2 linked regions of the Struthio camelus genome follow. The protein of the gene in region 2 interacts with the protein of the main gene of each other region in a biochemical or structural test. Links are inferred from orthologs where the notes say so. Each region holds a gene or a part of one and is shown on either strand. Other genes may lie near its edges.

The links. The genes of interacting proteins can lie anywhere in the genome.
Region 1: the proteins of TXNIP (region 2) and SLC2A1 form a complex in vitro, tested with the Homo sapiens proteins (2 studies listed by BioGRID). The link is inferred for Struthio camelus from reciprocal best matches to the Homo sapiens genes TXNIP and SLC2A1.

What each region holds. Positions count from the first base shown.
Region 1 is NC_090962.1:8,721,806-8,728,734, reverse strand, and holds the start of SLC2A1 (solute carrier family 2, facilitated glucose transporter member 1), read left to right. Parts: upstream 1-3,925; 5' UTR 3,926-3,940; coding exon 3,941-4,114; intron 4,115-5,833; coding exon 5,834-5,926; intron 5,927-6,929. UniProt on the Homo sapiens protein: Facilitative glucose transporter, which is responsible for constitutive or basal glucose uptake. Has a very broad substrate specificity; can transport a wide range of aldoses including both pentoses and hexoses.
Region 2 is NC_090971.1:3,047,470-3,055,439, reverse strand, and holds the start of TXNIP (thioredoxin-interacting protein), read right to left. Parts: upstream 3,014-7,970; 5' UTR 2,757-3,013; coding exon 2,507-2,756; intron 1,439-2,506; coding exon 1,366-1,438; intron 1,250-1,365; coding exon 1,102-1,249; intron 727-1,101; coding exon 624-726; intron 438-623; coding exon 181-437; intron 74-180; coding exon 1-73. UniProt on the Homo sapiens protein: May act as an oxidative stress mediator by inhibiting thioredoxin activity or by limiting its bioavailability.

The sequences.
Region 1 (6,929 bases), on a different chromosome or scaffold from region 2:
GCAAGAGCCCTGTCTCATGGATCAGGGGCCTTGGAAGTAGGGTTTTAGGCTGTGCTGCCTGCCACTTGCTTTTCTGAAACCCTGGCAAAATGTCTCGGCCTGCTCTTACTCTGCGTTGCAGGCCTGGGCTGTGGAGCTGCAGTGCTGATCTTCATCAGGAGGGCTGAAACTTTAAATGGTGAAAAGGATTTTGGCTAGGGGTAGGGAGAAGGCAGTGTCGCCATGAGAACAGAAGCTGGCTGGGTGCACGGTGGCCTCGCTAACAGCTTGATGGGTTTGTGGGATGTGGGAGACCCAAGTTCAAATTCCCGCAGCCTGTTCCGGTGGCTCCAAGCTGGTTGCTTGCTCTCAAGTGGGCATTTTCTTTTCAAGGGCCTCACGTTTGTCAGATGCGCTCAACAAAAGCAAGTGCCAAAACCACCCCGATTTCTTGTGAAATGGAATTGTTGTGCTCAGGCCAGTCCTAATTAATGTCCTTAATTAACAGGGTTGGCCTTATTTCCTGAGGCAGTTCAGGGTCCTGTTGCTGCCCTTCCCTGTGAACTTCATAGTTCCCTGTTAATACAGAGGCGGGTGGCTTGGCAGGAGAATTGAGTTCAGCAAGCAAGTTATTGCTGGTGAATGTTTCATATTTAAGAATATATCCCTTGTAGAATCTGTCAGCTCTTGGCTGGGGGTGAGGATGTGTTGCCTCTTCATCTTACCCTGCAGTCAGCCTTCACAATTTAAGGAGTGCTGAGTCTAGGTGGGCCTGACACCAGGCTTCTGAAATACTTGTCTTAAGATGCCTGGGAAACAAAGTGGGATTTGGCATAGCTAGAGAGGCTCCATGTCTGTGGTTTCCTCACACTTTGCTCTTTTTAGTCCAGTTTTTGGTGATCTAGCTATAAAAATAACTGTTAGGGAACTGTTGGAGGCATAGTGAAAACAGCAGTGTGGTCCTCACTGCCCCTGAGGAGTTCAATCCTGCTTGAAGGATTGATATGCATTTAGTTGCTAAACTACAGCTGAATTTCTTATCTGAAATCTTACCCCTGTTCACCGGGTTTGTTTTGCAGGAGGGATGGCATGCTCTGGCGAGAAGTATTTGGGTGTGCCAGTTGCCATCCAAAAACAATAGTAGGGCCCAGCTGCACGCAGACTGTACTGTCAGCCTTTAATGTCACAGGGTGGCAGGGAGCTTATGGAGCCCTGTGAAAGCCCCATAAAAGGGGCTGGGAGCCAGATGCAGCCTTCTCTGCAACGGGCTAGATTTGGCTGGTTGGGCTGGATTCGGCTCAGCTGAAATTGCCCTCGAGTGCCTGTGTTTGGTGTTTCCTTTTAGCTGGTTGCCTCCAAGGGGCCTGAAGCTGGCATCAGGAAACACTAAGCCCTGTAACTCTGGCTTAGGGCTAAGGGGTTTGGGTGAGTGTTTTGGATTGCCTGGAGCTGGGCTCGACTCCTCACCCAGGACCGATTCCTGCCCAGCAGCTGGTAGCAGTGTTAGTGTGCTGAGAGGCATCGGGGTGGGTGGTGCGTGGATCGCTCAGGTGGTATCCGCTGCGTTTCAGGATTGGGGTGATGGTGGATGAAGAGGGTTGGGGGCATTAAGTCTCGACTCCTCCTTTAAAATGGCCTCCCCGCTACGTCAGGGAGCGAACGCAGCCAGCGCGGGTGGCTGGGAGGCTTGCCGGGAGGGAGGCAGCTGCGAAGGTAGCAGCACTCGGGTTACGTGGCATCCGTGTCCTTAAAGTGGTAACTGTTTCAGGGAGCAGCACATCACGGCTTACCTGCCTGTGATGTGACCTGGTGGAGCCACGATGGGAGCTGATCTCTCCCTTCTTGAGAAGGGCTGGGGTAGGCATTGCCTGGATCAGCTGGCTCTGACCCTGTTACCAGTGAAATATGTACCTCGTATGTTGTTGTAAGATCTGGAGAGCCCTTATCGCAAGAGTGGCTGCATTGGGATCAAGTTTTCCACGCTCTAATCCAGCAGAGAAATTCCTACTGCCAGGAACTTGAGCTGGACAGCTAGGGCTGGACTTGCTGCTGAGCAGCGCTAATGTGGCCACGTGTATGCCCGGATGGGCTGGTGGCCATGGGGCAACTGTTCAGGGCTGACTGCGCTGAGGAAGCTGGAGGCTTCTCCCCTCTCTAGGGTCAGGATGACTGCTAGGCCACCTCCATGTATTTTAGGAATTGGCCTTCAGTGTACTTCCCACTAACTGTGCCATTTGTCCAGCTTTGAGCTTCACTCAGCCCAGTCTGTTTCCCTTCCAAAGGCTCGGATCTAACAGCTTGGAGGCTCTGCGAACAGGCACTTCACCTCCTACATAACCCGTACTGGAGAGTTTCACCCTGCTGGTGCCTCTGTGGTCAACCCTTTCTCTTGTGCATTTGGGTGCTGCCGCACGTGACTGGGAAAGGCAGCAGGGGTAGATGCCAGAGAGAGAAATATCCAACCACAGAAAGAATTGGGGAAGTATCTTATGCATGCATTTCATGTAGTGCGGTTGCCAAAGAAGTATAGTGTGTCCCTTTGCTTGGAAGGTGAGACCTGCGAGTCCTTCTGCTTGCTGAAGGCCGTTGAGACGTGGGATGTGCTGGGCTCCCATTGCAGTATGGGGGATGCCAGCAGATAGTCTCTCCTGCTCCAGTGCTGCTTGTATGCTGTGGGAGGGAGACCGACCTCACTGAGGCATCAAGATAAATGTTGCTGGGTAACATGAGTCTTACGGGGCATCATGGATGAGGTTTCAAAGCCAATGAAACCCAGAGATCTGGATTTGGCATCTAGTAGGTAAAACATGGATTTGTCCCCTCTGTAGGAAATCAGAGTGAAGGAAATGAGGGGGCCACAGCAAGGGAAGAAAGGTGTTTCCAAGCAAGGAGGCAGAGAAAAAGTGAGGCAAGAACAGCAGGGAAGGCAACTGTGGGCAGACAGGGCTGGGATGTGAATGGGAAGAGACGTGCAGCTCATTGAGGAAGTCATAGACTCACAGAATTAACGTGAATGTGAGTAAAGGACTGCCAGGGTTGTTCCAGGACAGCAGAGGAGATGCTTGTTGTATCGGCAAGCAGGAAGTGGTGGTTTGCTCCGCGCACAGCACTTTGAGATAACCTACGAGAGAAGTGCAGCGGCCAAAGTAAAAGGAGAAGTAAGTCTCTGCAGCACGTGGCTTGCTGGTCCTTCCTGGCAGCCTTGTTGTAGCAAGGAATGGCTGTTCCCCAAATGGGAGAGTTGGTGCAGCCAGACTTCTGGCCCTGAGCAGGGCAGGGGGGAGAGAGCAGGGCCCTTGCACCAAATCAGGTGCCCAGGGCCCCAGCGAAGGCTTTGGCTCTCCCTAACAAGGAAACACTGTCTGGGGTTTGGCAAAGTGCTTCCGCCGCTTCAGCGAGATCTGCCTTCCCAGTGAAGCAAACGTCGCTTCCGAGAGCGAGCACCGAGCCCTCAAAGAAGGGGCTTTGATTTCACGTGAATATCCCAAAGCTGATTAACCAAACTTGGGAACATCGAATCCTAGTTCTCAGGGCACCATGGCTAGGCTGAGTAACGGGAAAATCTCCTGCCTGGGATAATTGGGCCATTGATGAAGGTGTCCCAAGTGCTGGCCTGCCCTGACCTTACTCTGAAACAAGCCTCTGATTGTTGCTTTAGCTTAAGCAGGAGAAAGAGGAGGTGGGCGAGGGCTTGCCAAATAGCCAGAGGCACTGAGGCGTTGTATAAACGCGGAGGTTTTTGCTTAGTAACTGTGAATTAGGCTCTGATGCAAACCTTTGTTAGCGATGACTGAACCATGCTGTCTGGGGCATCTCCACCTTGATGATGGCCAGTGCAGCTAAGCGTGGGCACCCTGGTCTGCGCTGACCCTGAGCTGATGTTCAGTGCTCAGCTGGTCTTTCCTGGGGTTTAACCGGGGGGGGGGGGGGTTCAGTGTCACAGTGGGGCCCAGCTATCCTAATGTTCCTGAAGAACACCTTTCCTCTCTCCTTGGTCAAAAAACGGAGTATTTTCCATCCAAAGTCCAAGGTCAAGGAGGCCAACAAGTGCCTGGGCAGAAGAGCCTTACAATGTGGCCCGGCAGGAGCACAGAGCCTCCACCGTGCCTGGGGACTCTGGAGAGAAATCAAGAAGGTAGAACCACGTGACAGCCCTGAAAACGGCCCCGAGAGCTGGGTGCTGTGCATCAAAGGGCCAAATCAAACGGGGCCCAAGTACAGTGGGGTGATGGGGCTGGCAGGGCGAGCTGGGGATATTGCTGGCTCTTTTGTCTACGTGGCTATCTCTTGCATACAGTCTCCCTGATATCCTGGGTCTGCCTGCACGTCACGTGGGGGAACACGGCACGTGGGGTGACTCGGGGTTGTCAGATGGGCTGCTGCAGGTCCAGATAAGACCTCGGGCCTGAGTCTGGAGGCAGAAAATTCCTGGAATCCCAAAACAGTTTGTTTTAGTCTGTGTGTGTATATTTAGAGGGGGGGAAAAAAAATCATGAAAGTGAGTTGTCTCTTATCCTGCTATTCTGCCTATTCGTGCTTGTCTAGCTTGCAGTGCAGCCAGGCCCTGCTCTGACTGGGCTCCCAGGTGCTGGCACAATTTTGTTAAGAAATGTCTCCCATCTTCCTGAGTCAGCAGGCAGCCCAGAGCTCCTTGGAGCTAATTCCAGATGACTTGGACTTGGAGGGGGTTGTGTGCCTAGGTGCTTTCCTTTAGAAAGGACACCCTCTCTTTTTTTCTGTGAAGCTGCTTTTCCCAACGTGACTTTATAGATCACAGCCACTTGTATTCTAGAACAAAGTGTGCAACTAAACCATAGGTCTGAGAGTATTTCTAATTTAGTTTGGAAGGGTCATCTGGTTATCATTTGGACCTATTCCTTGCTCAAAACAGGATCAACTTCAAAGTTTGTTCAGGTTGCTCAGGGTGCTTTGTGCAGTGGTGAAATGGGCCCACGAAGAGTGGCCTCTCGTGGCTGCCTGCCTAGGTGTGAGGTCAAAGGAGAAAATCCAGGTGTCACAGAACTTGGTACAGAACCTGTGAGTGCACCTGACTTCCTTCTGAAATGCAAAATTGTTTTACTGGGTAGCACAGCACAGGGCTAGTAGATGAGAACTGGCACGTTTGAGGGAAGGAAGGTGAAGGTGGTTTGTAGGGGGGCAAGGCACTGAGCATTTGAAGCTAGTGAGGCTATGAAAATGCCTCCTCCCTTCTGCTCCCTTGGGGAGAAGCACAGGAAGCATAATCCTGCCATAGAGAATTCCTCTGCAAAGGAGAAGGTCTGAGCAGCAGAGACTGGGGTGTTGGAGGTAGATATTGAGTTGCTTTGGCCTGTACAGTATGTAATACCATGGCTTCCTGTGGCTTGTGCTGGTTCTGTCCTGTACTTAGAAGGGGTCCTGGGCCTGCAAGGTGGGGAACAGGCTGTCAAAGCCAGGCAGGGACCTGTCCAGCTTCCTTTGGAGGAAGCCGGGCTGCAAAGTCAGATGGCCACCCTGACTCTGAGCTTCAAAGCCTAGTTTTGGTGGGACTGAGATGATGGGAGATGTTCCAACCTCAAGGAAGTTCTGATTAATGAGGGGAGATATGGGGAGCTCTGCCTCAGGGACAGGAAGGCCTTTTTGCCCTGGTCTGCGCAGGCCATTTGCACGGTGCCTCCCTGGGAGAGGAACTGGTGCCCTGTCTGGACAGGGCCGGTGAAAGGACCGGGGAAGCCTATATATGGCAGAGTACAGGCTCCTAAACTGGTCTTGGCCAGGAGTGAGGTGAAGGCTGGGGCAGAGGGGGGACAGCCAGGCCCTCAAACCTAACCCTTTTCTCTTTTCTCTTTTTTTTTTTCCCCCCTCCTTCCTGCAGATGACGGCTCGCCTGATGCTGGCAGTGGGAGGAGCGGTGCTGGGTTCCCTGCAGTTCGGCTATAACACCGGTGTCATCAATGCCCCACAGAAGGTGAGAGCTAAACGGGATTGCCCACGGTGCCCTGCCATTCTCCAGGGCCACCTGTGCAATCACACACCCATTGTCACAGCAGCAGGCATGATGCAGTTAGAGCCTTGGGCATGGACACAACACAGCATGTGTTAGCCTGAATGTGGCAACATGCGCAATATGGAACGGCATTGCTGTAGCAAAACATACCTCTTTCAACATGACCCCACGCTTGAAAACAAACACACCTACTTCCCACCTCTCGCATCCACTATGAGCCTGGCTAAAATAGTACATCCTGTTAGGCAGCTTACTGTCTCTAATGGGATTTGTTAAGGAGTTATTTAGCTCTTGTGTTCCCAGGGGAATTAGTTTCCTCTTTGCTTAGCATTTTACTAAAGAATTCTGGGAACAAATATGTATGCTCGAGAAGCCAAGGCTCTTTGGGTGGGAGCTGGGTAGCTTTTAACCTCGGCCTTAGCAAAGATCTCAAAGCCAATTAGGCTCTTAGTCATCTTGGGGGCGGTGACCTCTCAAATGGGCAGCGAAAAGAGCTGGTTGTTTTCCCACATGAAGGTGAGAGCAGGAGCCCTAACGCACTAGGGCACACTGTGGGAACTGCTGCATTTTCTCTGGTGTGGCTTTGCAGGGTGAGCAGGCCTGGGAGTGCTTACCGACGTGGCCTCGGAGATGTAGATAACAGTCCTGGTGGGCTGCCTTAGGGAAGGGCAGATAATTATTGCCCTGATGGAAGCAACACTCAGGAGGCTCTGAAATGCTGATGAGTTAGGTTGGTTTGTCGGTTAGCCTCGGTTTGTCCCACCTCAAAGGAAGTGGGGCACACCAAACCCTCTGTCTGATGAGCGTTTCCACCTGCTTTCTGCCCCTGTGATCTGCAGGGTGCAGGTGGCATCAGCTTGAGTTTGAGCTGCGGATGGAAGATTACCTGTCTGTCTTCCTGCTCACACCCTCCTGTGCTGCCCTTTTGCAGCTGTGCCAGGATGTTTGGTGAGCTCAGTCATCC
Region 2 (7,970 bases):
TGCCTGACCGGCTGCCAATGACAAGGGGCAGTTCCAGGATGATCTTCTTGGAGCCTGGGACACTGACATAGATCTGCAAGGTACAGACCAGAATGCCGTTAGCAACGACAGAAACCAACCGTAGACAAAGCTTACCCACTAACCATGAGAGGAGCAATAGCAGCCATCAGAGACACTCACCTGCAGGAAATACTCCACGCGCAAGATGTTGCAGCCCAAGATAGACGGCTTGAGCTTCTTGACACGGATGGTTTTGCCTCGCCAGGACTCGGACATGCCTGAGATGATGTGGTTGCCTCGGACACAGGTGAGTTTCTGGGTGAACACCTTGGTCTGCCCATTGGCCAGGTAGGTGTGCTTGGCAATGATGGCTGCTTTGGGCACCACAATCCGGGAGCAAGTGTTCTCAAAGTCTGCATTGATGCAGATCTCATCACCTGAGGAGGGAATGATGTTCTGCATTAGGAAGGTCAGAACTTTTTCCTTGAAGTGTATTTGTTGTTTTTCACTGATCTTCTAGTTAAACATCCCCTGACTACTGCCCCTTTGCTCAGGTACTGCTTGTCCCTTCACCCTTTGCTCCCGCTCCTTCCCTTTTCTAAGGGGGGGAGACAGGCTCTTACCTTCACAAAATCCCTTTCTGTCAATTTGGGCGCTGACTGACACGTGGCCATCAGGAATGAACATACAGGACACCTTCTTCTCCTTCTTGGCAGCAACTGGAGACTGAAAAGAAATAAGATCGTTACCCAGATGAAACCTGCCCGGTGTTCCCAACCCATTCCTCCTCTCCAGCCCTGAGCTTCACCTTCTCCTGTTTTGTGATTCAAGCTTCCTCAAATTCACGCTGCCACTCCCCATGAGGACTGAGTGTCTTTCAGTTAACTGAATGCAGAACCAGTGCCTCACTTCTACCTGCCTCAGTGTAGCCTTCTAGAGAGTTCTTCAGAACTAAGTATTTAATCTGTGCTGAAGAGTAAAGCCTATTAGGGGGAGTCTTAACCACAGAGGTCAGACTGACCCTACCTAAGGACCTTTGTATCCCTTAATGCTAACTGACACCCAAACCTCTCAGAGGTGGCAAAACAAACTGGCACTTACCAGTAATTCTGGAGTGTTCACATCAACAGGATCCATAACCTCAAAGCGCTGCTTTATCTCCTGAGTGGGAAAGGATGGGCGCTCCAAGAAAGCCTTCACCCAATAATCCACGCAGCCATACTTTCCCTTGAAGGTGGTACCCAGAGGCCTATGAAAAGACACACTTGTTAGACACATTGGAGCTAACAAGACAGTTTTCCATAGGAATTTAAGGTTAGGCTTTTTTTTTTTACTTTGTTCAGACAATGCTGGTCTAATACCTACCCTTGGGGAAGCTCGAATCCAAATTTGTATTCATATTTGTTTCCAGGTCTCAGGATTACAGAGCCATCCCCATCTGAGAAAAGAAAAGGAGAAGAGAGATATTAGGTAAAGTCCAGCAGTATTGCTCTAAGCATTATCCACTGTTCTGCTTACACAGGCTATGATGAAGTCCGGGTGTTGCAGGCATTAAGAGCTCTATTAGTTCTTTGGTAAGCGCCACCCACACCTGTTCCCTAAGAACAGGCTGAGAACCTGGTGTCCTCGCAGGGCAGGGAAGTACTGCTAAACTACACTTTCACTTCTTCTTTCAACATCCTCATTTGAAACCAGGGCACAAAGTCCTGATTGGCTTTAGTTCAGACCCTGTTACCTCTGGTTACCGCATCCTACTTCCACTTTCTGGGAGTACAAAGTACTAACTTCTTTCCCCAACTATCTGTTTACCTTGAGGATTTCACGTCTCCCCACTTATCTTCCAAGACACCCTGCCAAGTGCTTATCTCTGCCTTCCCCAGAGCCAGCCAAACAGGGAGGGCGATAAAGGCAGGGAAGGGACTGAGACTCTTTGGCTCAGACAAGATCTGGACTTGCCGCTCTCTGACCACCTGTCCCGTGCACTGTACCAGCCACTGTACTGAACTCAGAGGCACCTCCTGCCACAGTGACATCCGGCCAAAGCCAATCTCAGTACTCGTTCCCTGCAGGCACAGAGCATCACTGCCTGTTGGGCAAGCCAAGCCAGCCGCATCAATGCCTAACGTCTTTTGTACGCTCCGACAAGCACCCCATCTCACTTTTGTTTCGGGCTCCGGATAGAGCACAGCAGCCCTAAGTTTTCCAACTCTAACCTGCAGCCTAGCTGAGTCCTGTTTTGCCCTTCATCCGTTTCCAAGGGTTCAACCAGTTCACTTGGCCAACATTAAATTCCCTTTTCCTTTCACCAGCCAAATATGCCAACTCTTCAAAGTAGCATTTCTGCTTTAGCCCCGTCAATGCGGGCACAACCAGGAGACTCAACCCAGCCCCTTGCGGAAGGGCAACAACCAGCAGGCAAAGCTGGTGATTACTTCCAACCCACTCCCCGCCCGCTCCCCACCACCTTTTGCCCCCAACCCCTCCTTTCCCAGCCCCAGGTCCTCACCAGTGGGCTGCTCCTCCAGGGTGAGCACGTCCTCGAAGCGCAGGTACTCCATCTCCTGCTTGCACTGCTGGGGGCCCTTGGCCCAGTTGACTTTGGCCACGCCGCAGGCCAGCACTTTGACGGCGCTGACGCGGGTGACCTCAGCCACCTCCACCACCACGCGCCCTGCCACCTTCTCCCCACTGCAGTAGACCTTCTCAGGCTCGCTGAAAGCCACGAGGAAGGTCTTGACTTTCTTGAACATCACCATGGCTGAGGTGAAGGGTGGGAGACGCTCTTGAGGACGAGGCAAGGAGCTGCGCACGCTGGGCAGTTTTTGTGCTTTTTTTTCCCCCCCTCAACGGCAACAACCGAGGGGAAAAAATACCTCGGGAAGGTTGATTTTTAGTCAGAATTTAGTCTAAAGGTCAACCTTTTCCTCCCTAGCAGCTGTGGGGCAGAAGGGATGCGCTGCCTCCGCCTGCTGCAGCCCGCCGCTCCGCTCTCGGCCCTCAACGGTGTGAGCCCGGCCCCCGCCGGACGCGGCCTTTTATAGCCTCCGCCTCCCCGCCCTCCCCCCTCCCGCACTTGTTGATGACAAGAGCGCCACGCCGAGGGCGCATGGCCAAGCGTGCTGCTCGCGTGATCAGCGCTCCCATTGGTCGCCGCCGCGTTGTTTACACCCCCGCCGGCCAATCGGCGCGCCGGGTGCGGAGCGTGGACAGCTTGTGAAGGAGAGGAGAGCGTGTGCGGCGGAGAAGCAGGCAGGAGGGCGGGAGAATGGAAGGGTGCAAGAGTGGGAGAGGGGACGGAGTGACGGCGCGGCTGGCCAATGGCGAGCGAGGACGGGGGAGGCGGGAGCCAGTGGTGAGCGGGGAACAGGATGTAATGTTCCTTGTGGGGACGGCAGGGCGGGAGGGGGGGGGGTTGAGCCCCCCCTCATGATGCGCGGGCTCGGGGGCAGCGGCCAGGACGAGCCGTACTGTGACGGGCTCTCTGGTACTGGTTGAACTGGGGCGGTCCTCACAGGGCTCTGGGGCTCCCCTCACCCCACTGAGGGTGTTTCCCCCCCCCCAGCTCTGTTTGGGGGCATTTCCACACCCCCCCCCCGTCAGGCAGTTGCGGCGTTTCCACAGCCCCCCTCTGCTTCCCCCCACCGTAATTTGGGGCGAATAAGGGCAGGATTGGGGTAAGGAAGAGAAAGCCTCTCCCTGTGGGGGGGGGAACCTCTCAGTCCGTCCCCATCCCTCCAGGGTGGCCCCCACCCCCCCAAAGCCCCGGTGAGTTGCAGCGTTTCCACAGCCCCCCTTCTGCTTCCCCCCACCGTAATTTGGGGCGAATAAGGGCAGGATTGGGGAAGGGAAGAGAAAGCCTCACCCTGGGGGGGGGGGGGAGGAACCTCTCAGTCTGTCCCCATCCCTCCAGGGTGGCCCCCACCCCCGCTGCTGTCTGTGACCCCCCCCCCCAAACCCCCAGTGAGCTGTGGCGTTTCCACAGCCCCCCTTCTGCTTCCCCCCACTGTAATTTGGGGCGAATTAGGGCAGGATTGGGGTAGAGAAGAGAAAGCCTCACCCTGTGGGGGGGGGGACACCTCTCAGTCCATCTCCATCCCTCCAGGGTGGCCCCCACCCCCCAAACCCCCAGTGACACCCCCCCGGGGCAGCCACGTCCCCCTCCCCACCAGGAGTTTTAGCAGAATTACTCATCGGACCGTCATCTGCCAAAAGGGGACATCTTACACCCTCTTTCGTGTCCCCCCCCCCCACTCCGCTTCGGGATGTTTCGAGCCGTGTCAAGGGCAGACCCCCCGCTCCTTGCCCCCATACCCCCGGCAGGGATTTGGGGAGCGGGTGACACCGTATCACCCGTGTCGCTGCCCCGTGGGGCTTTTAACTGGGAGAAACCCTTGAATTGTAATTTGTGCGTGGTCGTGCTGAGCACACACGTTCCTCCCCGACAGGCTGTTTTGTCATGGGTTTTAAGAGCGATTAATGCTTTCGCAGTTCAGGAAAGCAGGCATGGAGAGGGGAGGAAACGGGAGGGTAATATTTCTGGAGCCACTAAATGAGCCATAAAAAGGCAGGAGTGGAAACAGGGTGTGTGTGTGGGGTGGGGGGGGACTCTAAAGACCTTCCTTCCCCCCCGCCGAGGAAAGGGATGTGTTTTTGTTCGGTGTTGTCTCGGTTGTCCTTTGCCCTCTGATATGGCGCTTGTTTGTCCGTGCCTTTCTGCCGCGCGCCGTGCTTTTATTTCTTTGCCCTCCTCTCCGTCCCTCAAAGTTAATTCACACCTGTTAGCATAAACTGATAAAAATGGTCAGATAAACTTGCGGGGTGTAAGCTGATCGCCTGCCAAACTGCAGGACAAATTTCCTCGCTGCTAGAGAACTCTTTTGCAGTGAGGTGCGCAATGGAGGACGTGCGCCTTTTCCTGCTGCAGGTCTGGTCCTGACAAGCTCTCCCCGTTGTCCCTTGCTAGGGAGAAGGTCCCCGGGCTCACAAGAATTACGGATTTGCTCTAATTTGGCGAAACGAGCCGAGCTCTCTTTGCAGCCTTGCCAGCTATGGGATACGCGATCCCAAAGACCTCAATTTGGTTCTTGGCCCGCTCGCACCCTTGCGTTCCTTTGGGATCCGTGTTTGCGCTCCCCGTCTCTGGTTTCCCTCGGTGCAGGTCTCCCAAGAAAGAGGTCTCCAACCTGGCTCTTCCAGCCCATGGTGGCTTTCTCCCCAACTGTCAAATGCATTCCAGCGATGTCAAAGGGCGATGAAGTCCTCGGCTTGCCAGAGATATGGTCCAAGGCACGTTTCAAAGCCTGGATCCTCTCCAAGTTTCTTTTTATCTGTCCATCAGCTTCTGCCCTTTGCTCCCCTGACCTCCATCTGACTGGAAAGGCCTCTGTGGTCTCTCCACTGAAGGAGGAGCAGCTGCAACTTCCTCAGGATGAGACTCGGTTCACAAGGTTTCCCACGCAAGCAGCACCCTGGATTAAGCAAGGGACTTGGAAACGCAGAGGAATTTTAGCCTGTAAAACAAAAGCTTCAAAATGTCACGTCTCTTTAAAAAGAATGATATCAAAGAGAAGCCGGTTATGGTTTTGGGCAGAGACCAGCTCTTGGGCGCTTCCTCCCTTCTCCTAAGCAATTTTTTTAAGGCCTCGGTCCCCCCCTCAGCTTGTTTTCCCCTGGCAACATGTTGCTTGGAGGATCCCTCCAGCCTTGGTGGTGGACACAAGGAAGGGGAAAAGTCAGCCCTGGGGCCAGTGCCATCCAGGCGGATGGGGAGAGCGGCCCAGAGCCTTCTCCTCGCTGGCCATGGGCTAGTGACGGAAGGGAGAGTTGCATGACTAACTGGATGTGTCGGGGATAACCCAACCCTGAAGAGCAGGGAAGGGCCGAGTTAGAAACCATGCCCTGAGATGACTCACTGACAGCAGGGGCTGTTGAGTGGGTCATGGGGAAGCGATTAGGTGAGGCAGAAACTGGGCAGCACAAATCACGCTCCATACCAGCAACGTAAGGTTTTTGCTGAAAACTGCCCCCCTGCCCATGATCGATCTGAATCGTGCCTGTAACACAACCCTGATGCACAAGAGCACTCATAAAAGCCTTTATTTCCTGGTCTTGGTTACCAGGAGTCCCTGGCTGCTGTTGCCTGGAGCAATCACGCTCCTCTTGTCGCCAGCCATCCTTTGCCCCGTCTATCATCTCAGCCTAGATAACTGGCTCCCGCCTCTGAAAAGCACTGCGAGAGTTTGCTGCCTGGCTGCCCAGAGGCTGCTGCCTTGTGCAGAGCTTCCAGTAGCTTCCTGGTGCCGTTTTCTCCATTTTTCACCATATATGGTTGCTTCCAGCAAATTCGAGGCGGGGAGGGGAAGAGAGGGACGTGAAGGGATTCCCAATGGCCGGAGCAAAGGGACAGAGTGTGCCTGTCGTGCGAACGGGAACGAGAGCTGGGGCGGAAAAGGCATTTCCTTTGGCCAGGGTGGGAAGGGATTAGCTGAGGCTTGGGATGGAGAATTGGCCTATGTATGTACAGCGAGCAGCACTTGACAATCCCACGCTGATTGTGCTGGGTGTGTGTCCCTGCAGCTGGAAAACAAGGGACCAAGGGACTCCTGTGACTCCTGGAAAGCCACCTCTATCCCACCCTTATCTTCTCGCTGCTCAAGTTTGACTGTGGCTGACTTCAGTACTACTTTGACAGCGTAAAGGGCTGCCTGCAGTGGTCCAAGCTTGAAATTTGGCAGAAACACGGAAGCAGGGAAGCGAGGGGAGCGATTCACTTTGAGTTTCTGAATAAAATGAAAGTTTTGATGAAGCCATTAAGGCTTGCAGTGCCTAATTTTGAGACACGGCGGCACAACCCTGCTGGGGTACTGTAAAACAGCTCTGCAGGGACCTACATGAAATGATCTTGAAAGCTCTCAGGTCACACAGGGCAGATCCCCATCGCAGGTTTCCCAAAGCAACTTTTTGCTGGGTTTGTCCATGGGCAACAGCAATGGCTTGTGTCACCACTGGCAGTAATTCCTGGTGCTGTGTAGGCTATGTACCGTGTTGAAATGCCTTATGGCATATGTGTCACAGCTTGAGATCCCCTTTTCTCCTTCCCCTTCCCAGCTAAATGGGGAGAAGGCCCCTCAGGGATCCGGTGTGAGGACTTTCCTCAGGGTCCCAGGTTTCCAGCTCTTGCCAGGAGTGCGATGTGAAAAAAATTCTTTTCAGCGGATGTTTTTTTTTTTTTTTTGCTGCGGTGGGATGTCTTCACTGTTACTCTTGCCAGACTGCGATTTTGCAATAAGGAGGAGAAAGCCAGAGCCGAGCGTCAGCAGCCTGTGCCTGAGACCGAATTCAGCCGTCCACAAACAAGGAGGAATTTGAGTGCCGACTCTGGGAAGTCCCATGTCTTTCACGTGCTCTGGGCAGTAAGACTCAGTCGCACCAGCTGCCTCCTTGCTCAGGCTGGGAGAGCCTGTCCTCTTCTGGTGTTCGGCAGTGGCTGCGTGGCCGCGCTCTGCTCCCTCGCCCTATGCCCTCTTTTAAGAAAAAGTCTCCAACTTGTCACTGTGCAAAACTGATCCACCTGGTCCTCTTTGTCTTTTGGTGTTGGTCAGATGTTATTAACAGAGGAAACAGTATTTTATAGCCAAAGATTTCCTGACCTTCGTTCCCCACTCCCTCCAGCTGTCCCTTGAAAGACCGCAGCAGGGGCCCACGGATGCTGGAAGGGGCAAAGGAAGAAGGAAGATTTCTTGCTCTTCAGTAGCCAAGGCAAACCCACACGCAGCTTTCCCTGGGCCCAGCGCAATGGTCAGCCTTGTCCTTGCCTCCAGCCAGTGCCAATGGGCTCAGAGTCCATCAGTTGCGGGGTACAAGGGCATCTCCCCTGGAGAGGCTGACCCCAAACAAGGTCCCTAATCTAGATACCCAGGTGAGGCGGCTAAAACCGGGAGCTAGGAAGTCCCTTCCCATACTGCCTGCAC